Mytilus edulis: one gene and its partners. The protein of the gene in region 3 purifies or fractionates together with the protein of the main gene of each other region. This does not show direct contact. Links are inferred from orthologs where the notes say so. Each region holds a gene or a part of one and is shown on either strand. Other genes may lie near its edges.

Region 1 (6,940 bases), on a different chromosome or scaffold from region 3:
AAAATTTTGGGGTCCCTTATAGCTTGCTGTTTGGTCTGGGTCAAAGCTCCGCCGTACGTACTATGACCTGTATTTGCTATTATCCCTCAGAAGGGCACATATGGGGTCATTTTACTGTTGTAAAAAAGAAACTTGAAGAAATACCAAGGATTTGCATAGTGTTACTATACAAATCCTTTGAAGAACTTAAAAAAATTAACTAAAAGAGAGGAGAAATACATCATATTTAAATAATTTTAAACAACATTACTATATTCTTAAAGAGAATTATTTATGATATTATTTATTTTGAATAATATTAAAGTAAATGTGTTAACATGGCCTAAGTCAAGGAATATTACAAAATTCTTGGGCATGTTTTGACCATTTAATACCAGATAGATATATAGCTCTTTGGGAAAATATGAGCTCTTTTGTACTAAAAAGTTTTATTTACAAAAAATATATTGTAACTTATATTGACCCCTCATAAAAAGGATATTTATAAAATTGAGGGGTTGTTCCCAACCTTATTATGACTTGGATGGAGAATTGTCTCATTAATTGGCACACATATACATGTACATATACCAAATCTAATTATTCAATTATTTATTTGGTGAAATGGGAAAAGTACTTCATAAATTAAAGAAATGTCAAAGTACAAGTGATAAATCAAGTTTTAATATTATCAAAACCTACTATTTTATGTTTACAAAAAAAAAAATCGCTCGCCTTTACTTTTCAAGCTTCGCCTCAAAAATTTGCAAAATAAATATTTTTTTATTAAAATTTTCAAATCGCTCGCTCGCTCGCCCCAATTTTTGGAGTCCAAAAATCTGTAGAACAAGAAATTAAATTGGTGTGGCCTAAATAAATACTGTTAATTCAGAAATTTTCATGTTTTTATTATTGCGACAAAGGGAGTATCGAAATAATTAGATCTTGCATTCAGCAGATACCTGATACATGTAGTCATGTACCTACATGTACATTTACACAAGTAAGCAGATTTTCCTTAAATCACAATAAATAGTCCGACATTTTGGTTCATTCTTTAAAAATCACAATAATAAAATGCACAAATAAATTTCTGAATTAGATATCAAGACTAGACAACTGACATGACTGACATGTCAAAAAGGCCACAGAGACTGACACTGTGTCCTACATACAGAATGTACAAAATGTACAAGCCAATGTTCAAATGTTGACTTTCATAAATTTTGATACCAACAATTATTTGATATATTTTCAATTAATTATAATTTACAATGTATATATATATGTTAAATTTTAAAATCCGAGCATTATAATATTTTGGTTGGCTACTTAAAATGTTGACACAGATCATTTATGGCTGTATATATGGTATTATAATTATGTACATGAAATATAATTTATTTTATGTCATTCTCCAGTTGTTCTCCAATAAGAAGCTGGTTCTCAAAATTTGTGATTTTTTTTATAAGATCTAGAGTAATGATATAAGTTTTTACCATTTTTTTACTTTAAAAGTAAAGCAGATGACATATATGTCAATATTTGTTAATTATCAATAACAAAAAATGCCGAAATTTCGCAAAATATTGCAATAGATATGCATACATGTACAGAAAATGTATCTTCAATTTTTTTTTGTACATTTTAAATTTATGCACACCGATTGTGCAAAATGTCATTTTATTTTTGCTTTTGTCTTTTTATCTCATACATTTAAGTGCATGTTCAATGTCCACATTCTAGTCCACTTCACAGCTATTTAATTTCATGATTTTCTAATTTAGTTAATTTAGTAGATGTACAATGTAATTTTAGGATCTCCTGTAGTTGGTATACCAGTATTATAAAAATTTTGTACCAGTATTGTAACTTTTAATGTACATGTACAGTATCTGGGATCCATGTTTATGTACATGTACATGTACATTTGTACATGCATCTTTAATCCAAGCTTTTCCTACTGTACAATGTAGAAATATTCTACAGTGAATTAGAAGTTGAACCTGACATTGCAATAAGCTTTAATGACTTATTAGTCCTGTTGACTGCCAAAATATTTTGTGCCATACATGTAGCTACAAAATGTTACGTATAGAAAAGTTGTAGAATTTAGAACCAAAAGATATTATTTACATGAACATATTAATACATGTATTAGTTCAAGGAAGAACTGATATTACATGGTAACTGAAATCTGTGCAATGTGAATGACCTACCTTTTTGTAAATGTTTTTTTGTTGCCTCATCTTATTTCGTTCATATTATTCCTAATGATAAAAATTTACCTGTACCGCTCACAAAAACACTCACAAGAAAAACAGCTGTTTCTGCATTCCTTAATTACGACAATGCATAATTAAATAGCTAATTATATATAATTATATTAGCTTTGAATAACTAATCCATTATCATGGTTTTTATTAATGTATACAATAAATATTTTACTAGGTAAAATATCTTGAAGATATGTCTAGTACATGTAGCTACCTGCGTATTAGGTATGCCAGTATTGCTTGTAAATCGTGCTGATCCTCTTCAACGCCAGTTCTAGTTGAAGAGTTTGCTCCCCTGCTTGGTGCAGGACAATCTGATCCACCAGCTCCTCTTGGTGGCGGACAATCTATTCCTCTTGGAGATGGATATTCTGCAGCTCTTGCCGATGGATAATCTGATCCACCTTGAGCTCCCAAAACTTCTGTTTCAGTCTCACTACTTGTGCTCATAGTTCTGCTTCTCCTAGAATTACTCGAACCCATCAACACATTTTGTCTCAAGATCACTATGAAAAGTCTTTGTTACCATATTAAACAGTTTTACTTGGATATAATTCACTATAAACTAACACAATATTTATAAAAAAAATTATGTAAGAAAAACACTATCTATTTTTCCTTGCTAATTTTTGACAATTGATTAATTGCTGCAGCCATTAAAAGCATAAGTTTTAGTAAAAATAATAATTTGGATTGATTCCAGCCTGGTGATTCTATGTCACAACAAATCCAAGACAATGACAATGTTCCAGTTGTTGACCAAAGAAATAAAATGTAACCGGAAGCACAACAAACATGTACTTCCGCCTCTCGGAACTAGTTACCTGAACATTCCGAAATGATATGCAGATGACAGAAGTGATCGCTGATGTGGATGCAGGATATTTATTAACACACTATGTGGACGACATGCATTAAGAAATGCAAAAACGATATTATTGTAGTCCTATTTATGTATTTCTATTTATTTTAAGGTACTATGAGGATCAAAATGTGTCGTTTCTGTCTTTTGCAACAATTTTTCGAAAACCCGATTAAAAATCCTATCCTATATTTAAAATTGACACTTTTAACACAGTTCAACAAAGTAAAATAAACTATATGAAAAAAACACCTAAACACCAATAGGTGTTTTGACTACAACCAGACCATGATTTATCTGATTGCAACACGAGCTAATAAAAAAAATGAAGATGTGGTATGATTCATTGATTGTAAATAAGACAACTCTCCACAACAGCTGCTCCACAAGAGACCAAATGACACAGAAATTAACAACTATAGGCCACCATAATAAGCATGATAAGATCTTTAACAATTGAGCAAAGCACATACCACATAGTCAGCTATAAAAGCCCCCAAAATAACAATGTAAAACAAATCAAGCAAGAAAACTAACAGCCTAATATATATATGTTAAAAAAAATGAATGAAAAACAAATATGTAAAACATAATCAAACGGCAACCACTGAATTACAGGCTCCTGACTTGGGACAGGCACATACACAGAGAATGTGGCGGGTTAAACATGTTAGCGGGATCCCAAACCTCCCTCTAACCTGGGATAGTGGTGTAACAGCAGTGTTACAGTACAACATAAGAACCCATGGTTTCTAGTGTCATTATAAATCACTCATACCAAGATCATTCCATGTTCATACATGTACCATCATCATGTTCATCAAACATCTCTGGTGGCATTCTAAAAAAATTAAAGAAGGATTATTAATCCTAACCAAACTGGAGTCTCCTTTCTGTTGATTTCCAAGGACTAACCCAACATGTCCTATGCGCTCTTAAATTTCTTCTTTTTTCGCTCTCTCAATAACAATATCATGGCCTGGTCATTAAGATTTTGTATTGGTGTTAATGATTGTATAAGCATTACTACATGTACATGGTCTTGTGTTTCCCTGGTTAAATTGTAAATGATATTTCAAACAAAACCTGGAGATCTTTTATATATTTTATGTGACAATGAGAATGACTAAAACTCGAAATGGTCATAGTATGAACATAGTCAGGTGGTATGAAGAAGGTGATGTTAGATTAGGTTTGCATGAGCATGCTAGAATCATACTACAGTCTTGAACAGGGTCGTTAATCGTAGTGACTTTAATATGATTAAAAGATCTGCAAAAATTTCAATATTCTTTATGCTTCAAAACAATAAGAATTTCCTTCTCATTTAGTGGAACCAGTATTGCTGCTTACAGCAAGTAAAAGTTTGATGATTAATGAATGGATAACAACTGTGATATTCCTGTATAGAGGCATGTCAAATGGACATTACCAAAAATTGCAGATGCAGATTATGTAATAGTCATATTGGAGGAAAGGACAACATTATAGTGACTAAAACAAATAAACATAAAAATGTAATAAGTCATCTCTTAACAAATTACTATTTCTGTCAACCAAATCATAAATCCATCTTTTAAACTTTTGAATAGATGACTACAGCTTTAATTGGGCACACTTACAGTTTTGATCATGCTGTGACTTTTTCAATGAAAATTTGTACTCAAGTTATTTTTCACTTATTCAAATCAGATATATGTAATAAAAAAAAAATAGCTTCATGTCCTATTTATAGAGATGAGAAAGAAATTTTAGACATTTCCTCAAAATTTCAGATTTGTGGCCATTTCTATCCTTTGTTTCTTACAATGATTTCAAGCTGAATGGCTGATAGTGAAGCCTATGCTTGCTGTAATACTGTAAACCAACTTATTTTTGAGGGTCACAAATAGCCCTTAATTTATCAGTCCATTTCATGATTTTTAAATTTTATTGATGTAGTTAAAAAAGGAAAAAAACATGTTTTACATATTTGCGACGATTTATATTTGTGTTATATTTCTATTCGCCAAAATAGTGAAAATAAGTTGGTTTACAGTAGTGCAAGTGTAATTCAAAGTCCACTAGTCATGCTATTTTTCACAAGCTACACAATTTTTTCCTAAACACAAGAAGAAGCTGGCATTAAAGTGCTACCCTTGAATGACCCTCCCTTGTTCAGTCTGTTCTTCTGTCTGAATAGCAAGTTTAAGCTTGGACATTCCTGTCCTCAGACACATACTTCTTCTTTGTTTTTATCTCCAAATTTATTGGCCCAGAGCCTCTGACAGTCGCCAGCAGCTTAATTAAAGGTTACAGGTCTTGGCATACACTTGTTACAACATTTCATACTAGAAACTACTCTAAAACAATATTTGTATTAGCTTGAGATATTACTTTTTTTTATTTTTCAGTATATTTTTCCAAATACAGTGTCAGTCAGTGGATGAACATGACAATTTAATTCAGAGTTATTTTACTAGCCATCTCTTAAAATACCACGGCCATCGACATACACGAGACTGTCAGCATATTTTATTTGGCAATGTGACAAAGTCCAAACATATGGCACATGGGTATGGCAGTTCTGATATCATTCACCCTATAGCTGAAACTCGCCATGCAATAAAAGCTGTCGGGCAGTTTATTAAACGTGACGCACAGATACATTTTACTGTTGTTAACAACCCAGTGAGGTCTATATCAGTATTAGAACCGGGATACAAAGGAGGATGTGATGACCAGATCAGGTCTACAACACCAAAATCAGCCCAACAAAAGAATTGTTTAATGGCAATCAATGCTGGATTCTTTAATACACATAATGGATCATGTCTAGGTAACCGTTTTATATTTGAATCAGTTTTTGTATTCTCTGAAAGCTTTTTCAGATTCTCTTAAATTTGTAAATTGTGAGAATTTCCTATCATATAACTTTAAGAATTCCCAATAATGTATGATAAATTAATTATCATGATTATAGAAATCAAAGGTTTTGTAAAAGTTTTAAGTAATTTTTCGGTATCAAAATCCCTGATTTGATAATTTACTTTTATACATACATTTGTAGCTGAGGCCAATCTCTGGGTGCTGTATTTTCTCGCTGCTTTGAAGACCTGTTGGTGGCCTTGGACTGTTTACTGCTCTTTGACTTTGGTTGGGTTCTTTTTTCTTGTTCTAATTCCCTGTTTCCATTCTCAAATCTATTATCTTTTCATTGAAATCCATGAAATAATAATAACATATCCATTGGGAAATATACACACCATGAAAAGGAACATCACTTACCAAAAAAGTAAAAATATCAATAGGGAACAACAACAAAAATGGGTCCAATGACCCTGCCTGCCAACAAACATGTTGGAATCAGTCATTGTTGGTCTTATCAATGTCAGATTATAAACATTCATGTTTTCAATAGATGGATTTTGATCCGAGTTGGCACAAAATGGTTGCCATGGCTAAAAATAACACATAAGGGTAAAATGCAAGTTTTATCTATGATTTTGAAAACCATTTCTGAATATAGAAAATCTGTCAGACATCTTCTTATAGGAGTTATTGCCCTTAAATGACTTATTTTACCATTTTATTTCATTTTTGCCTATTTTCTTGAAGACTATATTAGATACAGAGTAGCATTCAAATGCAAAAATGATCAGCAAGACAATTCTACAAGTTAGTCCTTATGGTCGAAATTGTCAGCCAACTACTAATTAGAGTTATTGCCCTTTGATGATGATTTTTACCATTTTTTGTGTTTTTGCCTTATATCTTAAAAATTAGAATTGATAGATAGAAACTTTAATAAGGAAAAATGACCAACAAGACAAAATCTACAATT
Region 2 (7,617 bases), on a different chromosome or scaffold from region 3:
ATTTCCCTTGGCAATCAAGCTGGAGGTGAGGCTGGTTTCAATATAACATAATTTAATTATTTTCCTTTTTTTTTTATATTTACCAAATAACAAGAATGTATCCATATATATAGTACATGGATGCCCTACTTGCACTTTCATTTTTATGTTCAGTGGACCGTGAAATTGGGGTAAAAACTCTAATTTGGAAAATTAGACAGATCATACCATAGGGAACATGTGTACTAAGTTTCAAGCTGATTGGACTTTAATTTCATCAATAACTACCTTGATCAAAAACTTTAACCAGAAGCGATACGAACAGATAAATGGATGGACAAACAAAGGGATGCATAGACCAAAAAAACAAACCATAATGCCCCTAATATGGATAAGTGGACTGAAAATAACATATAACACCGACCATTATTTTTTAGGGAGAATCCTAACCTGATAATTTTAAACATGAGGAATTGAGAACAAGAGAATCAAGAGAATCAAGCAACATATTTTACTATGTAGAAAAAGCATCAATGGACTAAGAATAAGAGAACGTATTGCCAGATATACATACCAACTATTGCCTGCATTTGTCTATACACCACCTCTTCTGTTTTGCCTCCTTCTCTTTCTTCTATTTTTTCACCAATACAAGCTATTACTTTTACACCTTGGCTTAAAGCATATTTTACTTTTTCTCCAATCAGCTGAAATCATAAATCAGTCATCTTTATGTAAACTAAAACAAGAATGTGTCTGTAGACACAAATGCTCCCCGCTCAAACTTACTTTAATGTTAATTCAGAAATTATTGCGTGCATTTATTATTCCGAATTTGTTATTTAAGACTTAAATGCAATTTTAATTTTTGCGATAGGGAGAAAAATCAAGATTTCATAATAATTCATATAAATAATTTCAAATTTGAGTTTTAATTTTTGCAATAATAACTGTCGCATATTTGTAATAATAAAAATATTGCATTAATTTCTGAATTTACAGTACTTAATATATATATTTGAGATAATTTGTTAACACTACTTGACTCTCCGTACAGTGACCTATAGTTGTTAATTTCTGTGTCATTTTGGTCTCATTGGCAATGATACCACATCTTCTTTTTTATATCTTATAAAACCTGTATCATATATTTTTCAATCCTGCCAGTTAGATCCCACTTATTTCCCTCCCCCCCCCCCAAAAAAAAAGTGAAGACATTAAAAAAAGAAGACAGAAGACCATTCACTCACCTGATCGCTTTCTCCAAAAACATTTCTTCTTTCTGAATGACCTAGTATCACCCATTCACATCCAATATCTTTAATCATATTTGCACTAAAATAAACGGATATGTTATAATATATAGGGTTATTGCATGAATATTGGGGAATATTGTCCCAAGTAGAATTTTATATTGCACTAGTACAATAAATCTTTTTATTGTATAGCAATGTAATATTTCCCACAGAAAGTAACCAAAAGTTAGCGTGCAATAAATTCCAATATTGCACTAGTGCAATAAATCTTCAAAATTCATGACGTCATCAACGACAAAATCTCAGTTTACACCAGTTTTTACTTTCAAATATTATATTGCTATACAATAAAATTGTTATTGCATGAATATTGGGGAATATTGTCCCTCATAGAACATATATTGCACTCGCAAGCTCGTGCAATATAAAATTCTACTAGGGACAATATTCCCCTAATATTCATGCAATACGTAACCAATTTAATATTTGAAAGTAAAAATTGTTTTAAACTATGATTTTGTTGTTGATCATGTTGATGACGTCATGAATTTTGAAGACAATATATTGCACTTGTGCAATATATTGGAATTTATTGCACGCTAACTTTTAGTTACCTTCTGTGGGAAATATTATATTGCTATGCAATAATAACCTTTATTGTTCATCATGTTCATGTCATATAAACAAATTAGAAATGTTTGTGAGAAAAACATATATATATATTGGACTGCGATTGTTGCTATAGGAAAAACATCCCAAAAATTTCTGAATTATATTATAACTGTAAATACAGAAATAATTGCATGGTTTGTATTATTATAATGTGTATCCCAATAACTTGGATTTAAAAATCTGATATATTAAAATATAATGGCTTGCATCTTTGTCCATTCTTAATAAATGCCCATTAGACATGTCAGAGGAAGAAGGTAGAAAACATGACTTTTGTTTTTTTAAACGACAGTGAAAATACGTGAATAATAAGGGAGATAAATCAAATCTTTCCCCATGACAGGCACCAAAGAGAAGCACAGAAATGACAGAGGGGGGATCTGGGACCAAATATCTACACCTATATCTAGGACATTACTTTAACATGTGTAAGGAAGCAAACAATGACTTCAATGGGGGGTTATGGTTTTTTGTCAAGACTCAAATTTTTGTAAAAAGTTTTTCAACGCTATAACATCAAATAACTTTTTTCATAATTAGCATTAGGATTCAGAAATTTTTCATTGTTTTTTCCCTATCTGCTTGATTAAATTTTGGAACAGCATATTTTTTAGTTAATGGTCATTCCCTAACTTATTGAGCAATATTAACACCTTATATCCCCAGTAAAGGCTCCTTTTTCTACTTTGTAACAGTTCTGTCCAGCAACTCCTATCTTTTGGTCAAGTTTCCCTCGTACATACTCCATGTAAATGGCTGGAGGAGAAACTACAACCTCTGAAAAGGAATTAAAAATATTAAATATTGTGAAAGAAAATATACATGGAGGGTGTACAAATTTTTCACTGAATTAAATTTTTGTGAGAAAAATATCTTGTCACATGGTCTGTTGGTACATTTTTTTTTAAGTGTTCTTGTTTTCAAGAAGGTTGTGTTTAATCCTGGCCTGGTCAAATTAAAGTTGAAAATTTGAATAAAAAAGTTCCCTCTTATAAGCATATGGCAACGTTCTGGTCAGCTCAAAGTCAGAATAAAATTTTGGATAGTGTGACATAAAATTGAGAATGGAAATGAGGAATGTGCCAAAGAGACAACAACTCGACCATAGAAAAAAAAACAACAGCAGAAGGTCACCAACAGGTCTTCAATGTAGCGAGAAATTCCCGCACCCGGAGGCGTCCTTCAGCTGGCCCCTAAACAAAGATATACTAGTTCAGTGATAATGAACGCCATACTAATTTCCAAATTGTACATGTCCACACTATTAAATAGTGAAATAGAATAATGGCAATTTAGCTCAGTGTGTCCCTCAACATACTCAAGAACCCAGTTTCTCACTAAGGCCAAAAAAAATAATACATGTGATTCCGCTGACCCTACCTACCCTAACATTTTTTATGCCATTTTGGAATAAGCACAGTAAAAGCCAGACTGTTTCCCTAGTAGTAACCAGATGTATATGGTTTTAATTTGTAAATAATAATTACTGTACTTTAATGCTGGTTTTGATAATTGAGGAGGGAAGGCCTCATGATTTTACAAGCAAGAGTCATTTTACACTCAAGAAGAGTCCTACTCTGTATTGAAAGAAGAAGAACAAAAAATGTTTGTAAAATAAAATGATATTACCTACCTACCCTATTTTATTTCAGCACGTTAGCGGAAACAAAAGTCACGTGTAAAGAAAAAATCTCTGTGTAGTTATATTGGACATGTATCTATTTTTAAAAAATGACTGAACTTAATTATTTGTGGTGATTAGGAAAGTAGAGGAACATAGAATAAATGTTTAAAAACTATGGAGCTATTGAATGTGTTCAAAGTATTAAATTTTCAAAGAACTTATTGTGTTAAAAAGGGGATATTTTACCACAAGGAGCCGCATCACAAAAGGATGTTCAGGGTTTGCTAATTTACGGAAAAAGTAATCTCACTTCGTACCCCGAAAATTTAACCACATATGTGAAAATGTCAAAGCTTCGAAACGAGCTATCATACATGTCCAAGTTTACGATATGGACTGAGCTACAGGAAAAAACGTTACCATTACCGCCTATGTAAAAACAATTAAAGATATTGAGCCATGTACAACAATCACTTCGGTATTTTTTCTCTATGACATCAAAATTTGGGTTTTGGTATAATTTGGCTGTCAGATTATTGGGTTGTCACACTAATGGCAGTCAGAATAATGGCATGTGATCAGGTGATGAACATATTTGATGTGAGCACCTGTCCAACTTTTCAGCAAATTCTTTTGAACAGGTTCAGGACAAATCAAAGTAGATCAAAGTAAGGAGTTAATTTGAAATTTTGGTCAAATGAAAATATTCCCGTCCTCAATGTGCACGAATTTGTACTTGGAACCTAAACAGCAATCCATCATCAGCATCAGTGACCGTCACCCCCCTTTTTTGTTTTCTTGTGGAATTTTATCACCTGTATTTGGATCTAATGGTCCTGCGTTAAGAAACTGTATAATTCCATCAATGCTGGCTTTATTGCCATTCATTTTCCAATTTCCTCCAACAAAAAACTTCCTTTGAGATGCCATGGTTGGTGAAAAGTAAGAACGTTTGACTGTTAGCTCGACCGGCCTTGGAGAATACGACCTTGAAGGAAGTGAACAGGACGATCTTCAGTGCGCTTTGTTAAAGGGAGAGAAATGGTAAAACTTCAAGCATTTTAGAATTCTATCCCATCATGCAATTTCCCGCGAAATTTATATAACCTGGCATGTTTACAATATAATATTTTGGTTAAAGAATAACTGGGAAGATTTGATCATTTCTGTCTTGTAAATCTTCGTTTGGTAGGTTACACGGAATCAAGCTATATTATATATATCTAAATTTTCAGTTTTACCATTGCTTAATTCCAAATTGAATGGTAATTAAAACATGGAAAGGTGTCATGATCATTGAGGGTGGTAAAAGGGGGGGAACAAGTATTGTTATAAGACATAATATCACGTTGGACGTGAAATAATTTCTGTAATGTACGTTGCACAAAAAATAAATACTTTTATTTGAACCTTTTGTGACTGAGTCACTGTCTTCTTGTATATATTAACTCTTTGTTTTACTTGATATTCCCGATTTAGACAGTATACACATTTATGATGTAATTGGTTAACGGCTTTTAAAAAAGTATTTCTTGACGATCCTTGCCAAGTGTTTGAATTTTATTTGAAAAATACCGAGCACGCAAAATAAGACTTTGAAAATCACGATGCACGTAAAATTAAATAAGCAGAACACGTTGAACGAGGCACCCCTCATGCACGACTCAACGACAAATAAAAAAGTAAAAACATGTTGAACGTCAAATAAAATACGGCGATCACGTTGCACGAAAATAACCCTTTACCACCCTCATCATTGGCAAATGTTGTCACATCTCATAGGCGGATCCAAGGGGGGGGGGGGGGGGCAGGCCCCCCCTTTTGTGGGAAAAATTTGGTTGATTATATAGGGAATCATTGAAGCATGACTGGAGCAGGCCCCCCCTTAGGAAAAGTTCTGGATCCGCCACTGCATCTCTTATCATTATGTGTTTAAAGATCAGTTTTTGGCTTACATTTATAAAAAAATAAGACAGTTAGAGTTCAGGCACTTGTTTCTATCCATTGGCAGACCCACTAACAATGTATATTTAACTTGTTTCTATCCATTGGAAGACCCACTATGAACGTAAATATAAGTTGATAGTGGGTCTTCCAATTTATAGAAACAATTAAGTGCCTGTGAGTTAAGAGAAAAATCATGATCAGAAGCAAGGTCAATGTCTATATCTCCTTTTTTCAGGAAACAACATATTTTCTCCTTCTTTTAGCCTTAATTGTTCAGTAGCAAATGAGTAGTTGGGATTCAGTTCCCATCTGGCTGTCTCAGAAACCCAGGTTCGAAGACTTTCAGAAAAGAGCGACCATTTTTAGAAAAGAACCAAAAAGGAAATCAACTTTATTTTGTAACCAAAGGAAATTAGCAAATTGCAAATCATTGAAAACCTTATTCTGTGAGCATGGTGAGAGGACTAAATTTAAAATTCATGTGAAAAATTTCAGGTAGGGTCGGATGCCTATCTAATAGAAAAGAAAAATAGAAAAGAATTTTTTTATTCACTTATTAAGGACCCCTTGGAGGGCATACAGCATTACTGTTACAATCAATAATATCATAAACAATAAAATATTCAATACACAGGCAAAAGATATATAACATGAGTTACTGTAAATTCAGAAATTATTGCGTGCATTTATTATTGCGATATGCCGACCACAGGCAAAAATGCGAGGTTTAATTATTGCGACTTGCCGATTAAAAAAAAAATTTTTTTATGCTGAACATTATTGTAAATCACAGATGTTCACATGTCTTTTCGCAAAGTAAAGCTTTGTTCAAATCTATGCATTTAGTTACCTTCCGTATGTTTTCTGTGATTGAATACACAATTCTTAACTGATGTAACTTGTAAAGGGGATCTAGAAACTAAGATGCATTACTAGAACTTATGTGTTGTGCATGCCGACTTTGGGGATCTAGAAACTTAATTGAACATCGACCACGTGCAGAAGATTAGTGTAGAACGAGGCCCGGCTTGGGTAATTATAGGATATTTTTAACTTCAAAAGAAAATAAATTACAATATTAAAAGTTGATAATCGCAATCACCCGTAGTAAATTTGAACTTGTGCTCAATGAACAATAGTAGCTTGTGCTTTATGAACAATATTATCTTCTGATGATCTTTGTTATTTTGTTATTTATTATTTATTTATTGTAATAAATTGTATTATATAACTTGTTTTTATTTCTAAGTTTCAAAAGGTTTACTTATACTGAAAATACACATGCTCCACTGAACAATTACAAACAATATTAACAAAATAAAATAACATCGTAATTTGTCACTTTATATAATAATCGAACAGCATTCAAAAGTAATTACTAGTACTAGTATCCCATTCATAAAAGTTCCCGGCAATATTGTTCAATCATAAACATATTACAGACACATTACCAATTAAAAGTCGAAGTGTTATAAAAATGTCACCTGGCTTCACTGATTACACAGATTAGCGGAAATAAGTTGTAAAAACATATTACCCTTAAATGCCCCAGGTGAAAGGTTAAACACATCACACCACTGAACAAAGGGAGATAAATCAATCACAAATTGACATTGGAAAAATGAAAGTAAGAATGCGAGGTTTAATTATTGCGATCGTCCGACGCTCGCATTATTCGCATTAATAAAAATCTCGCAATAATTTCTGAATTTACAGTATAAAAAAAAATATAAAATCAAATACTTCAGGAAACACGCAACAAAATAATAGTAATATACTATAATTCAAGTTGACATTGACTAATGTGCTCCAGGTTTAGAAGGGTATTTTCCCATAAAAAGAAATACAAGAAGATAAGTAGTTAGTTCTGACAAATATATATACACATATAGTATCATAGTCCCAGCTAATAATGATGTATTTGTTTTTTAATTAATCTTCTTTTATTCCCATCTAGCCCTTTGTTTTATACGAAATAAAAAATTGAAATTAAACAAGAATATTATAAAGTTTGGCATGGTTTACATGTAAAAAAAAATGTAGCAGGACTTGAAATCTTAGTTCAATATTTTTATAATTCTATTTTCTAAAAAAAAGAAATGACACCGTGTTTTTTTCTTCAAAAATATTTAAATGCCT
Region 3 (7,327 bases):
ACCGTACATATTGTTTTTCTGTTGTTTTTATAATAAATAAGATTAATAAAGTGTGTTTTAGTGTTGTATATAGATAATTAAATATTTACGACCTTATTTTTTTAAGCTTTAAAGTTAAAATGGCCACAGAATATATACGCATCACGATTGATCGGAAAGTTTGATTTGCAGGTTTTTTTGAAAGCTAGTCTTGTGGAAAAAGTCACCAGATTTTGCTAGTAACCAAGTTTCGATATTTAAAGGTAAGAATTTTTTACTTGCATCTAAATTTAAGAAAATTGATGGCAAATGAATGCCCTGAATATTTTACAATTGACATATACTGTTTTATGTAGTATTTGTGAAGATGTTTCCCAAAAATATGACTAGGAGTGGGTGTACGGTATTACCCTTTGTGATATTTTACATTAAAATGCAAGTAGTCTAATATCGTACACTTCAGTTTTCAGATATATGAAATATCATGTTATAAAATGAAACGTTATATATTACTAACCTTTGCTTTTACCAGTGAACTTTACGCAAAAAATAAACATAAATACAGACACTATCTTCACGTTGTTTTATTTCACCGTGAAATGATGTTACAAAATTTGACCCTGTGTATAGTAATAAGCGGGTGAAGTGGGAAAGGTGAGTAACGATTTCTGTACTTGTCTATCAATTAAAACAGAACTGAAATAAGAGAAGCAAATTAAAAAAAAAAAAGATACAAAGTTAACTGGCATCAACAATATTCGTAGAACGAAATAAATTGTAAAAAAAGAAACCATTCTTTATATTTTTCAGTTATGAATCAACATTCAGTTGTCATATATTTAATGAACAGAGATATTGGTATACATAACAACTACTCCTCCCTAATTGCATGGCAGCTTATGAAACTAGACATGCCAATGTTTCATGAAGTCAAGCAATACTTTGTGGTTGATTGCATTGTACATTAGCTTTCCGATAAAACCATTGGAAATATTGCATTGAATGTTGTTAAAAAATGGTTATCATCATATGAAGTAGGAGAACTACCATTAACTTATTAAGTGCGAAGTTTGGTTCATCATCATCAATTATCAAACTTACCTGTAGGAATACATCCGTATCTTGAAAATTTGAGGACACTTTTAGAAACAACTGATGAGTTTGAATACCAGTCCTGGTCTGACTAAACATACTTTTTCTTTGAGATAATTGTAATTAATAAAATATTTATCAATTTCTTTAACTTTTGTCTTCTCTTTTTTCAGTTATGCCAAAAAAAGGAAAACTCTCCTAAAACGTAAAAGCTATACCACTGAAAGTTTGCAAAAAGCTGTAAATGATGTCAAACACAACAATATGTCACTAAGAAAATCTTCCATGAAATATGGAGTTCCTGTAAAGACTATTCACGATCATATTGCTGCCCTAAAGTAGATAAACCAAGCTATAAGTTAACAACTAGAGGTCAACAAAGTTGATTTAACTTTTTATAAGAAAAAAAACGTTGTATGATCCAATTCCATGCCTGCATTTTTTTTAATTTATAAATAATATGCAATAAAGCTTTTAATTTTATCCATATTCACTGCCGATTGAGTTTTGGAAAAAGTTCTATTTTAAAAAAAAAATTGTAAGGGTTCCACGGAACCCAGTGTCTCGCCTACTTTTGTTGTTAATCGCAGACTCAACAATAATGAGGAAAAACATCAATAAAAATTTCCCTCTCGATACTGTCTTTTGATTGAAAGAAGCTTCCAAGTTTGGTAAAAAAAAATCCAGGATAGTTTATGAATCTAATAAATGTTTTATAAACTTTAACTGCAGACTGTATGTAATGTTAACTGGAAGAAAAACTAAGTCCATTTATAAGTAAAATACGGAAAAAGTGATTATGATCAGAAACAAGCTTTTGTCTAAGTTTGGTAGAAATCCAGGATAGTTTAAGAACATTATAAAAATTTTAAAAATTTAAACCACAGACATGACAGAGTGAATGTTTTGTTTCTGGCAAAAAAACTAAGTCCATTTATAAGTAAAATACGGAAAAGTGGAAATTTTTTTTTTCAAATTTTTCTTCGTGATACTACAAATGTATCTTATGATCATAAACAAGCTTCTGTCCAAGTTTGGTACAAATCAAGGATAGTTTATGAAAGTTATTAAAATTTTAAAAACTTTAACCAGAGTGAATGTAATGTTTCCTCGCAGAAAAACTAAGTCCATTTATAAGTAAAATACGGAAAAAAATGGAATTTTATTTTTACAAAATTTACTTCTGGATACTTTCTTATGATCATAAACAAGCTTCTGTCCAAGTTTGGTAGAAATTCAGTATAGTTTAAGAAAGTTATTAAAATTTCAAAAACTTTAAACACAGAGTGAATATTTGTGGACGCCGCCGCCGCCGATGGAATGTAGGATCGCTTAGTCTCGCTTTTTCGACTAAAGTCGAAGGCTCGACAAAAATCAGGAAAGCTCTTTCCAAAGAGAAACAGTATTTTGAATTATATCGATGTAATATAATTGTACGGAATTACACATCATGGTGTACGAAGATACACGACATGCGTACGTATTTACCCTACTGTGACTTTTCAGTACGATTTAGTCATTCTTGGTATTTTTTGTTGATTGCTAAAGAAAAAGTCATACACGTCTACAATCTACGAATAATCTAGTTACCGGTTTCCTTCTTGAACTTTGTTGTATCAAACAGGGAACCAAATGATATTCATTTAGGACCGAAAGTGTACGGAATTACCCCGGACCCACTCAACAAGACAGAGTAAAATGATGATTTTTTTTCATTTATTTTAGGAGATGGGGTTCAAATGTCATGTAACTGTAAGATTTGTCTACACTAGTTGATTGAATTTAATTTTTAATGCTGAAATAATTATTTCTTATACCTTGGGAAGACAGGTTCTGTACTGTATTGACATACTGCTCTAAGACTGAGGCCATAGTCTGTTATATTTTTCTAGAAGCAGGATTTTTCACCAATGTTCAGTTGTCGCTTACAACAATAAGATAATATCTATTTTTTTCTTAAAAAGCCTTATGACTTGTAAATATACATTTAAAAATAATATCTGAAATTCCAAATTTCAAAATGTTTTTTTTCTACAAACTAAATGAGTGGAAATCATATCAAAATTAATGCATGTCAATTGTTTATGATCTTAAGCGGTAATAAACAAATAGGTCATTAAATAGAACGACAGTCTATGGGACGTTAGATGGTATATATATATTCTATTCTATTCTATTCTATTCTATATACATGTTCATAAAGCAAGTGAAACAATATGAACTATTTAATATACTTAAAATAGGTTGATGTATAAAGGATCTTTCTTCCAAAATAGAACAAACGTCTGACATCTTTATAAACTTAGGAATTTTAATGAAGCTAAAAAACAACTATTTCAAAAAACTTGAAAGCCTGTTTTAATTTGTATAGAGCCTGAGTCTTGAAATCCTCAAGCAACTGCACAAAACACATCTCTGCATTTATTAGATCATTGTGTAACAGGAACAGGTCCCAGTATACTGTGGGGTTCGATTGGGACTAGTCCTGGACCGTGTAGTAAAGTACCTGTCCTGGTAAGTACCTGTCCTGGTTCGTATCTCTCAGATCATCAGATGCTTGTATAGGCTTTGAAAAACAAAGATTTTAAAGCACAACTTTTATTATAACAAATTACAAAATTTAATCAGCTTACAATATCAAACAAGTTATACTTATTTATTTTATTTATCTAACTTTGAAACCAGGATTTGACAATTGACCTACTGGAAGTATCTATAAAGCAAGCACTGGCTACAGTTACATGGAAATGTAACAATAATAAAAATATTATTGTTACATTGGGGACTAAATGCCGGAATGCATGGTTGGATAAGGAACCGATTAATTACCAATGTAACAATAATTATTGAGGCTACGGTTACATTGCGTTATTGTTTCATGAAAAACAGCAATATTCGATGGGACTAGTAATATGTACTAAATAATAAAAGTTGAAGACATTATCTTATATTTACAATACATACAAGTATAACATACAATTTTTGATTTTTTTATAGTACGTCCTCCATGGATTCTGAAATCGGACTAGGCATCTCTTAAACTGAGTTTTACTATGCGTAGTGTTGTGCGTTTGTTTTTTATGCATTGGCTGGAGGTATAGGGGAGGGTTGAGATGTCATAAACATGTTTAACCCCGCTGCAATTTTGCGCCTTTCTCAAGTCAGGTGCCTTTGCATGGCCTTTGTTTGTCTTGTATGATTTTTAATGTTAGTTTCTTGTGTATAATTCAGAGTTTAGTATGACGTCCATTATCACCGAACTCGTATACATATTTGTTTAGGGACCAGCTGAAGGACGCCTCTGACGGGTGTGGGAGTTTCTCACTACATTGAAGACCCATTGGTGACCTTCGGCTGTTGTCTCTCTATGTTCGGGTTGTTGTCGCTTTGATACATTTCCCATTTCCATTCTCAATTTTATACATGTATACAGAAGTTCACAGTGTTAGTTCACAGTCAGCAAACTTTTTGATGTACCAATTTTTGGTAAGTGCGTTGTATAGCGGTATGAAATTTGTGTCTTGATATTGTTTCAGTTTCGTTTCAAACGCATCCCATGCAAGTTTTAAATTTTTCACCCAAACAGAATTGGTAATAGGAATCTCTTCATCTTTTGTTCAAAGTATAATGACAGTAATACGAGTAGGTGTGCAGTTAAATACTTAAAAGTGAACAGTTTTCTCAGCCTGAGTTTTCAACAACAAACCATTGAACTATATTTTTTGCCTTTGGCACTACTAATTTGAAGTAGTATCTTTAAGAACTAACGAAAGCTCCATTTGGAGCTAATGTGTTTAGAGACTACTTATGTCGGTACACCTTTCCTATATTGCCTAGTATCTTTAAGAACATCAAATCCATTAATACCTAAAACTATTTAAACACCATTTGTTGAATAATAATATTTATTATTATAACAAGTATTATTTAGTAGACCTGAATGAATTAAGCAACAAAACTAAATAGAAGATTTAAGTTTAATAAATCTAGCGTACATTGCTGTTTTTCATGTAACAATAATGCAATGTAACCGTAGCCTCAATAATTATTGTTACATTCATAATTAATCGGTTCCTTACCCAACTTTGCATTCCGGCAATTAGTCTCCAATGTAACAATAATATTTTTATTATTGTTACATTTCCATGTAACTGTAGCCAGTGCCATCTATAAAATCGTCCTAACAAAAAGTCATCTAACAAAAAAAAAAGAAAACTCTTTATAGACCACAAAATTGCTCAAGTTTGAATACCAACATAATGGATTGAAACAGTCCTCTCTAATACTAATCTAAGTAAATGGTATCAAAAACTAGAATTGAATACAATTCCATTGGGTAACATACCTGTCGCCTTTAGACATGTACAAAATGTACCAATGAATATAAGGAATATACAGACTTATATGGTAAAAAAAGTATGACCTTTTTAACTTGAATGAACCCTTTACAGTTCATAGGTTTTACTTTGTAAAATACCTAGCTTTTAGGATATGAAATAACTATCTTCCTGAAAGACTTTGAAAATTTTTAACATATCATGCTCTGATTGACTGAAATAATTATCAATATACCAATGAAATTAGGTTACTAAAAGTTTGTGCTTCTGCACAAGCTAAATCCCACTTCTGGTTTGAAGGTAAAATCAGTTGAGTATAAAATGAATAAAAACTTAAAGACTTTAAACAAATGTGAACCTAAAACCTTTGTAACTAATGAAATGAGATAAAACTAAACACAGGTAAGAATTCTGAGAAAATTCTGATAACTTTGAGCCCAGAAACTTAGTTAAATTCACATTTGTTACTAAAACTATATTGATGGTAAAACCACAACTATCACAATTGCATAACCTATTATTCTATAAGGTTGGGGCATTACTGATACTACTCCAAAGAGAAAATCTGGAAAAATAGAGATAATGGATCAGGATTTAAAGATCAAAAAACCAAAAACACATAATTTCTAATTTTTTATTACCTATTTATTTTAATATGATTAACTCAATTTGCTCTAATTGCATTTTTGGGAAATGACATTTGGTCTCAAAGTTTCATTATTTTGCTATTCTGAAGTTGTCTTTTATCCCAATAAATCTTATTATCGTCCTTCCCTACGCCTATATCACCCTGCTCTGTCGCTCAGTAATTCTCGTATCAAGACTTCAAAACGAGACCAGGCATTATCAGCGACGTCACAATGTGAGAGGAGAAGTTATCAGCGACGTCACAATGCGAGAGGAGAAGTTATCAAGCTTGCTTTCGTCAAGCTTAAAACTGTCTTAGGGAGAGGAAAAAATACCATTAATAGAACGATAAACAGATAATCGGATTTTCTACGTATAGATATCGTAAAATATCAGCCGGTCGACACAATGTGAAACTTTTTAGCTCGTTCGCTACGCTCACTCGCCAAAAAGGTTCGCATTGTGGCTCGCTCTGATATTTAACGATATCAATGTGTAGAAAACCCGATAATCTATACAAATATACCAGAGTTTTTTTGTTTTTTTTGTGGGTCTGTTGCTTAGTCTTTTCTTTTCTATGTCATAATTTTAAAGGTAAAGATTGCATGAAATTCAATCAAAACCTTATGGGATTGACTTGATATCAATTCTTCCAAGACTTATCACAACCTTATTGATACACATATTATAGTGTATTGATCATAATATTTTATATATCCTGTCCATGAACATTTCCAGAAATTTAACAATGTAATATATGCTCAGATATTCAAGGCACAAAATGATGTTACACTTGTCATGAAAATTACATAACTTTTGTTAGGTAGATATAGGAAGATGTGGTGTGAGTGCCTATGAGACAACTTTCTATCCAAATAACAGTTTAAAAAAAAGTAAACCATTATAGGTTAATGTACGGCTTTCAACACGGAGCCTTGGCTCACACCGAACAACAAGCTATAAAGGGCATGAATTTTATACCTGTTCTAAGAATATAAATGATGCCATTGTTAAAGTCATCTTTAAAAAAAAAATGGAGTTATCTTCCTTTGTCTAGAATTGCTGTTAAAACATCTACAACCAATGCAATATTAAATTTTTCTTCCAACTGATAAATTAAAGCAATCTTTACCATTCAGTGCTTACAAGCACTTGATTTCTGGGATTTGGTTGTTTTTCTTTTTTTTTACATGGCTTTATCAGTTTGTCATCAACTATAATGCTCCTTTGTATTCTTCCACTTCTCTTTTATCAAGACACACTAACATTTGATGTCTGAATTAATTTGGATA
Region 4 (7,061 bases), on a different chromosome or scaffold from region 3:
AAATACATCATATAAGTTTTAAAATATAAAATGACATATATAGTCATGGCTAAAATTAATATTAATAAATAGGAACTGCTAAAAATAAATTGACAGCTAATCAATTCAAGACAGTCATCATTTCTTAATACATAATTTACAAGCAGTGTAAGGGAGGTAATCAAATATTGTTCTTTAAAATTGATTTGGATTACCTTCCTCAACACTTTGACAAAACAGTGACCTAGATTTTACAGAAAGACTCCTGTTGGCAATTTTTTACCTCTTTGTGTTCCTGTACCACCTATGCATGCATTTATGAAAATTATTTATACCTACAGTCACTTCCAGTTGCGTAGTGGACATCAAAAGTTGCCCATCCCCACCTGATTTTTGCTACTTTTCACGTTTATCTGATTTTGAACTCTTAAACGGTTTTCAAAGTGCCATATTTTCATAAACAGACATCTGAGAAGAGTTTATGAATCATGAACTGCTTGGTTGAAGTCCCTGTTATCATGACAGTTCAGCTTGGGCACTTCAAAAAAAGTATTGAGGGTCATATGGGCCATCAAAGAATGGTTGTCGCCATCACCCCTACAGGCGGTTTTTGGGGCTAAAAGGTTAAGCCATAAACCCCCAAAGTCAATCTTAACCATCCCTTTGTAGTATGGAAACTTGTGGTATAATTTCAGAGAGATTTAACACAAGTTATTGTCTTGAAACTACAAAAATGCTTATTTGGGCCCCTTTTTTGGTCCCTAATTCCTAAACAGTTGGGACCATTTAGTCACCATTACCCCAAAAATCAATTCAAACCTTCCTTTAGTGGTTACAAACCTTGTGTTGACATTTTCTATATGCTTATACTAAAGTTATTATCCGGAAACCATTTTTTCTACAAAATGCTGGAGAAATAGTCCTGTGTGTGATAAATTCATTATACGGTTTCCTCCTGACCCCCTACAGATCATAAAGTTAAATAGAATCCATAGGAGAAAATATACCTGGATGTCTATCATCAAAAGGATCTGGGTCCATCTTGTAAAATTCTTCTGTTTCTCTTTCAATAATATCTGATAACCTGTAATAAATAGGCTTATTGAATAAAGTGTGATTACGTGTTAGTTTTAACAGTTTGATATATACATGTATTTCTTTCAATTATCAGTTGAAATTGATTGTATCATTAAAAGTTACACTTAAATTGTATTTTAGTATAATTCATGCAGGTGCAATGTATCTCAACAAAAAAATGAAACTGGTATGATATAATACAATGAACTTGAATCTTTGCTTCAAGACCTGATCATAACCTTTTTCATCTAAGTACACAACTGTTAGATACACAGTACAAAATGTAAGTCAATCTGATTAGTAGTTGAGAAAAGCGGTATATTCAAAAACTCTTAAGAGCGTTTCTCTGTTTTATTGTATATCTACTCAACATATATTAGGTATTCCTTACTTTGTAAGCATGTTAATGATTTCATTGTTGTCAAGTCTGTTACGATATTCATTTGTAATCCATTCATCCAAAAAACCATTAAATTTAGTCAATGAATCTAGGGCAGCCATATCTCTGTTCTACAACACAATGTATATTTCTAACCTGCAAAAATAAAAACAACATATGTTATATATTGTAGCAGTGCTTCCCATGACATACATATAGATGTATAAACAACAAACATCAAATATCCCTTTGTTGGTAGAATCATATTTTTTAAACCACTCACTCAACATGGGAAGAAAAGTGACAGTTCCCCTAAGCACACAAATGATGTTCACTTAAACAAAACCTCTTGAGAGAAATGCATCCAATTCTAATGTTGTCTATAGATTTCATGATAAAAATGAAATGTATAGCAAGAAGAAATCTGTAGTGAACTAAACAAAAAATTAGTATTACTTTAAACATGACAAAACATTAAAATCAAATGGGTCTTTTCTATGTTTGTCTAAACTTCTGATTACAACAGTAGTATTTGTTAAGCTTAGTCAGTATACACACTGCCTTGTAACACAGTGGTCCTGGGCTTCAAGTCCTGGAGAAGACAAAGATGATTTTGTATGAAGAATCATGCTTCTACTTCGACTTCTACCATTTTGCGGCCACCATCAACAAAACTGATTAATTTGCACTGGCACTTATTTCTGTCAATATGGGGTTTACTAAAAAACTTTTGTACGGGTATGGATAGTAAACGACTTATTGACAGAAACAAGTGCCTGTGTTATTTTGTCACTTTTTGGATACACATGTAAATATTTTAGATAAAATTATGTTAACATTTTTTGTGCTATACAAATGTACATTCTACATGTGTATACAGTGAGGTTAAAAACACCCATGACGGTGGTCTAATCGTCTCATGTAGGTGAGTCTTGAAACTTTCAAGACTACCTGCACTGGAGGTGGTAAGTGGTAGTCTAGTCCCTTATTATTCTTGGATAGAACAATTCTTTCCTCATGGTTCTGCAAGTTGGTAATTGGAAACCGTTGATGTTTAAGTTCCAGGATAATGTCTGGTGGAATGAGCGTGTCTTCTGTATATAGGTTCACCATCCCGTTCGAAATTTTCCGAAATGCTCTCCCTGTTACACATAAGTTACATTGAGGGGTTTTCCCAATCTTTTTACCATTATCATTGAATGTCAACATTTTTTTTTACTTGTTATCAGGTGTCAGTTAAAATACTCGGTCCTAGCTTCAACATATATCTTAATATGAATGTAAAAGTATGGTCAATTTAAAATACTGGTAAAGTGAATTTCACAACAACTTTTAGTTATGTTACAGTAACAGAGAAAGTAAGCATTTCAAAGATTACAAGTATGTACAGCATGTGAATAAGTCGACAGTACAACATTTAGTTTGTCTATATATAATTTTCCTGCTTGTTTCACTGAAAACTGTCTCTTATTTATCATGTTTATGCTACCTAAATAACAAATTTCCCGCAATCTTTTTCGTTCATGCTTTATTTTTTTTTTTGAATACGAAAGTAATAGGAAAAGCCATTCTATCGGTTTTCGGATTTTTACCATAAAAATAATTGTGCATTTGGCGGGAATATTTAAAAGTAAGAAACACCTTTTCGAGTCTTAGTTTCGTGTCCACATGTAATCATATATGTCTCTTCTCTTGTGGGATTTTAATAAAGATTAGATAAAATCTTTATTAATGTAAAGATTGTGTTTGTGTTTTTCCTTTTAGCCTTAGGCTTAACTAGGGACCGCCGATTGATGCACCTTAGAGATTTTTTTCTCGCAGTAATACACCTTATCGCTATTCCCGGCTGACCCGTCCGCTTGAACTTTTGACGTCAACGACAATCACTTTTCCATTGTGGCGTCAGACATTTTGTTTTATGACGTCAAAATTTTACGGGAACCTGTGTGATTTCCAGCAATGGCGGACAAATAGCGATAAGGTGTATACTCGCAGTAATATGGCTAAAAATGACCCGTATTCCTTCGATTTACTTACTGAAGGCCGTACTTTGATCTATAATTAGGGAGCTACCATTTGATTTTTATGGGGGGGTCTAGGATGAAATTTGAAAAAAATAGACAGGACAGGAGTTTTGAGTAAAAAAAAAAAAGGCAGGATGAGACACTTGCCAAAAAAAAAAAAGGCAGATAAACTAAAAAAAAAAAAAAAAAAAAAGCAGGACCGAATAGAGTGAAAAATAAAAAGACAGGACAGAGATTACAACTAAAAAAAAATGCAGGACAAAATTTTTCATCCTAGCATTGATCGGCCAAAAAAAGGGGAGTTCCAACCCCCGGAACCCCTCCCTGGATCCGCCACTGACTTGATCTGCTTTAATATTATCGCTCACTTATTACTCCCAAAGTACCATCAAATCATTTACCAAATTTATTATATGGCAGTGGTTATTTTGTAAACTTATATTTGTTCCGCCTAACAGAAGTTCCAATGGAAACTTTGTTATAAACATTGTCACTCATATTCTATACCTTTTATTCCATTAGGAACATATACTGTAATAATTATTCCTATAGAAATAATATTCCAGAAAAAATAACAAGCTTCTCAATACACTAGAATATATTGATATGGGGTTACTTAAGCAACCAAAAAAGCAAAACATATATATAAGTCAATGTGCTTGTTTTTCGAGATATTAGCCATTGAAATTTTGGCGGGGAAAATATTCTCTCTTTATTTTTTATAGCATTATCATTGACAATTGAAAGTTCTCAAAAAGTATTATTTTTTTTTTACATTAGATGTGTTTTCACTATAATACGAGATTCTGATTGGCTACTCTGCAAGCTCGCGTTATTCTTTAAGCAGTTTCATTACACAATAAAATTTATCATTCATGATGACACGAGGCCCCACAATAAAGTGCACAGGTAAATGAAATAAAACTTGATAAAATTCGTGTTTTTATGCTCTTGCTTAAAAAACGTAATTATAAGCATTGAATGCTTCTTTTTTGCCGTAACTTCATAGGGTTGTAAAAGCGTTGACCGTGCGCACATTTTTAGAATGAAGCGCTTAGCGCTTAAGCGCTTCATACAAAATGCTTCGGTCAACGCTTTTTCACCCCAATGAAGTTACAAAAAGAAGCATTCAATTCTCAAATAACTAAGATTTTATAAGACTTTTACAGATGGCTTATAATAATACATGTAAAAGATCCATAAAAAGAAAAATAGGGGGTCAATGGGCAAATTTTTTAAGGCATTCAAATGGATAAAACCATAGGATATTGAGAATCTGACAAAAATCCCAAAACATGACAACCGTCCGAACATCCAGCTTAAAGAGGCACTAGCTACGAAATCTATGAAAAATCTAATATATTTTTTTGCTCTATCATTAATGAAATACAAATAGTGAAATAATAATTCGGCTTGAGCCGCCAGTATGGTTAAATGTTGTCAAAATAAGCCAATAAACATCGATTATGAATAATTCACTTGCAAGTGAATAATTCGACCTCATTGAATCCGTTTTCATGTGAACTTCAATTTAACTCCTTAGCTTGAGATGGATAACACGTGAATTGTATGTGTAAAGTTTTTTTTAAAGGAAAAGAATGTCAACATTGAAAGTGAAACAAAGGTAAAACATTTGATTGACTGATTCGATCCACAAAACATCATTCTTATACAGATAAAAACGACGAAAACACTATTTCCACTATAATATGAAATCAAATAGACCTAGAATAATTCAACAGCACGAGTTGGTTAATCTTTTCATATCTATATTTATGTTTACTTAGCTTATATGGCCATCGGATTACTTTACTTTAGAGGTCAACTCGATAATTAATTAGATGGCGTCTAAATTAAAATACACACTAAACGAAGCGGGTTTAACAGTCTTAACAGGCGCCAACCTACAACCTAACCTGAATCAGTATTGTAACAATGATGTCTATTTTTTTATTATACGATTGACAGGCATTTTTTTTCACGAAATAGTTTTACGTTTACGCGAATTAACCTGTAATTTACATGCGTTTTGATCCTGAGAATAACTTGAATTTTAAGATTTTTTGTTTAAAATTAATTATATTGATAGATAATTTACTATATAATATAATCAAACAAGTGTTAAATTAAGTTTCTTATTCAAACCTTAAAAAGCACTAAACGTACGTCGTGCGAATAAAAAGGTTTAATTAAAATACAGTTTATCTTTCCAAGAAATGAACATTCTAAGTATTAAAACATATCCTGGATTTAACACAGTATGTTATATTGATTGGAACAATATATAATACAGTCCTCGTTGTGAAAAGACTCTTGGACACAGTTGGTATGTTTTGTGCCTTAAATTGGAACAGTCGTCCACATTCTTTTTGTCGCCTTATTTGAATACTGTTATCTTTCTTTGGTTTGATTTTACAGAGTCAGAAAAAGCACATAGAGACTGCAGCCAAAGCCTCAAAACGAGTATTCTTGCGCCAAAATTTTAGAGATTTTAACCGAACAGTCCGAGAACTTTGACAACAGAGATCCATGGTCCGACCAACAGCGGAGTACGCTTCTGCTCAATGAGACCCATACAAAGTTAATGACTAAACAGACTCGACAAAGTACAAAGGGAGAGCCCGTTATGACTGTAATAACTACAGAGACAAAAGCCCTGAACGTGTCACAAACATGATTCAACTTCTTAACTTGGAATCACTATAGACCATCGCCTATTGATCACGTACAAGGCCATCAATATCATGATTCCCATACCAGAAACCGACAGTACTTTAGTAGAAAGTGACAACCAAACCAGACGTTCAAACAGACAAGTAGAGCTACACCAAAACAGAAGTGTACAAACAATCCTTCTTTTCACGCACTATCCAGAATTGGAACCTTCTGCCACACCATGCAGTCATGTCACTTTAATTATACTATGAAAATAAGTTCAGGATACAGTCAGATTATTAAATTGCCAAATATAACACTTTAACAAAAAACATAGAATAATTGACTATGTAAAAACTTTAAAAAGTGCTTCATATCAGCTTATCCATACCCCACGTTATTTACAGTGGGGACAACAGAGATCTCTATGATGTCTAGATTATTCTCTTATATGTCCACACTACTAGCCTATGGTACACGAATAAAAGAATGTATGTACCAGGAGATAAGCAACCATTTTATTATTGCCAGTATAGGTGATATCGGTGAGCAGATTAAACAAATTTTACTTATGTTTGTTTTTTTTTATTTCGTATGTCCGGCCTATTTGTATTACTTAGTATTTAAAAAAAAAAGCAAAAAACATATGAACAAAGAAAGCAGGCAGGTTGCAGGAAATTAAAAGAGGCGAAAATACCAAAGTGACACTCAAACTGTCAAGTCGAAAATAAACTGAAAACACAGTGGCAAAAACAAATTATCCAATGTTCCCTAAATATTAAGCTCGGAGTTGTTTCACTGCATTTAGAGTATTTGGTAATCATTTATATTTTTGTGTATTTAAATTTTCAAATGATGTTAATATATGTCATGTTAATGTGCACTTTCCTGCAATATTATTGGGGTACTTGTGTTTTGATTTTCACAATTAATCCAGCCCAGTTTGC

Evidence for each region.
Region 1: the proteins of COP9 signalosome complex subunit 3-like (region 3) and DDB1- and CUL4-associated factor 11-like purify together in Homo sapiens (affinity purification with mass spectrometry; 3 studies listed by BioGRID and IntAct, counting the BioPlex papers as one, with this or other methods). This does not show direct contact. The link is inferred for Mytilus edulis from reciprocal best matches to the Homo sapiens genes COPS3 and DCAF11.
Region 2: the proteins of COP9 signalosome complex subunit 3-like (region 3) and DNA damage-binding protein 2-like purify together in Homo sapiens (affinity purification with mass spectrometry; 7 studies listed by BioGRID and IntAct, with this or other methods). This does not show direct contact. The link is inferred for Mytilus edulis from reciprocal best matches to the Homo sapiens genes COPS3 and DDB2.
Region 4: the proteins of COP9 signalosome complex subunit 3-like (region 3) and DDB1- and CUL4-associated factor 1-like purify together in Homo sapiens (affinity purification with mass spectrometry; 5 studies listed by BioGRID, with this or other methods). This does not show direct contact. The link is inferred for Mytilus edulis from reciprocal best matches to the Homo sapiens genes COPS3 and DCAF1.

What each region holds. Positions count from the first base shown.
Region 1 is NC_092348.1:88,946,280-88,953,219, reverse strand, and holds the start of DDB1- and CUL4-associated factor 11-like, read right to left. Parts: upstream 3,030-6,940; 5' UTR 2,739-3,029; coding exon 2,470-2,738; intron 1-2,469. Other genes in the region: N-acetylglucosamine-1-phosphodiester alpha-N-acetylglucosaminidase-like, read left to right, coding at 3,177-3,229, 5,511-5,935. UniProt on the Homo sapiens protein: May function as a substrate receptor for CUL4-DDB1 E3 ubiquitin-protein ligase complex.
Region 2 is NC_092356.1:11,910,884-11,918,500, reverse strand, and holds the start of DNA damage-binding protein 2-like, read left to right. Parts: upstream 1-4,598; 5' UTR 4,599-4,723; intron 4,724-7,617. Other genes in the region: triosephosphate isomerase-like, read right to left, coding at 554-686, 1,230-1,314, 2,561-2,684, 4,347-4,461.
Region 3 is NC_092352.1:14,420,100-14,427,426, reverse strand, and holds the start of COP9 signalosome complex subunit 3-like, read right to left. Parts: upstream 3,011-7,327; 5' UTR 2,944-3,010; coding exon 2,889-2,943; intron 1-2,888. UniProt on the Homo sapiens protein: Component of the COP9 signalosome complex (CSN), a complex involved in various cellular and developmental processes.
Region 4 is NC_092344.1:96,408,357-96,415,417, reverse strand, and holds the start of DDB1- and CUL4-associated factor 1-like, read right to left. Parts: upstream 3,012-7,061; 5' UTR 2,925-3,011; intron 1,592-2,924; 5' UTR 1,558-1,591; coding exon 1,448-1,557; intron 1,064-1,447; coding exon 987-1,063; intron 1-986. UniProt on the Homo sapiens protein: Acts both as a substrate recognition component of E3 ubiquitin-protein ligase complexes and as an atypical serine/threonine-protein kinase, playing key roles in various processes such as cell cycle, telomerase regulation and histone modification.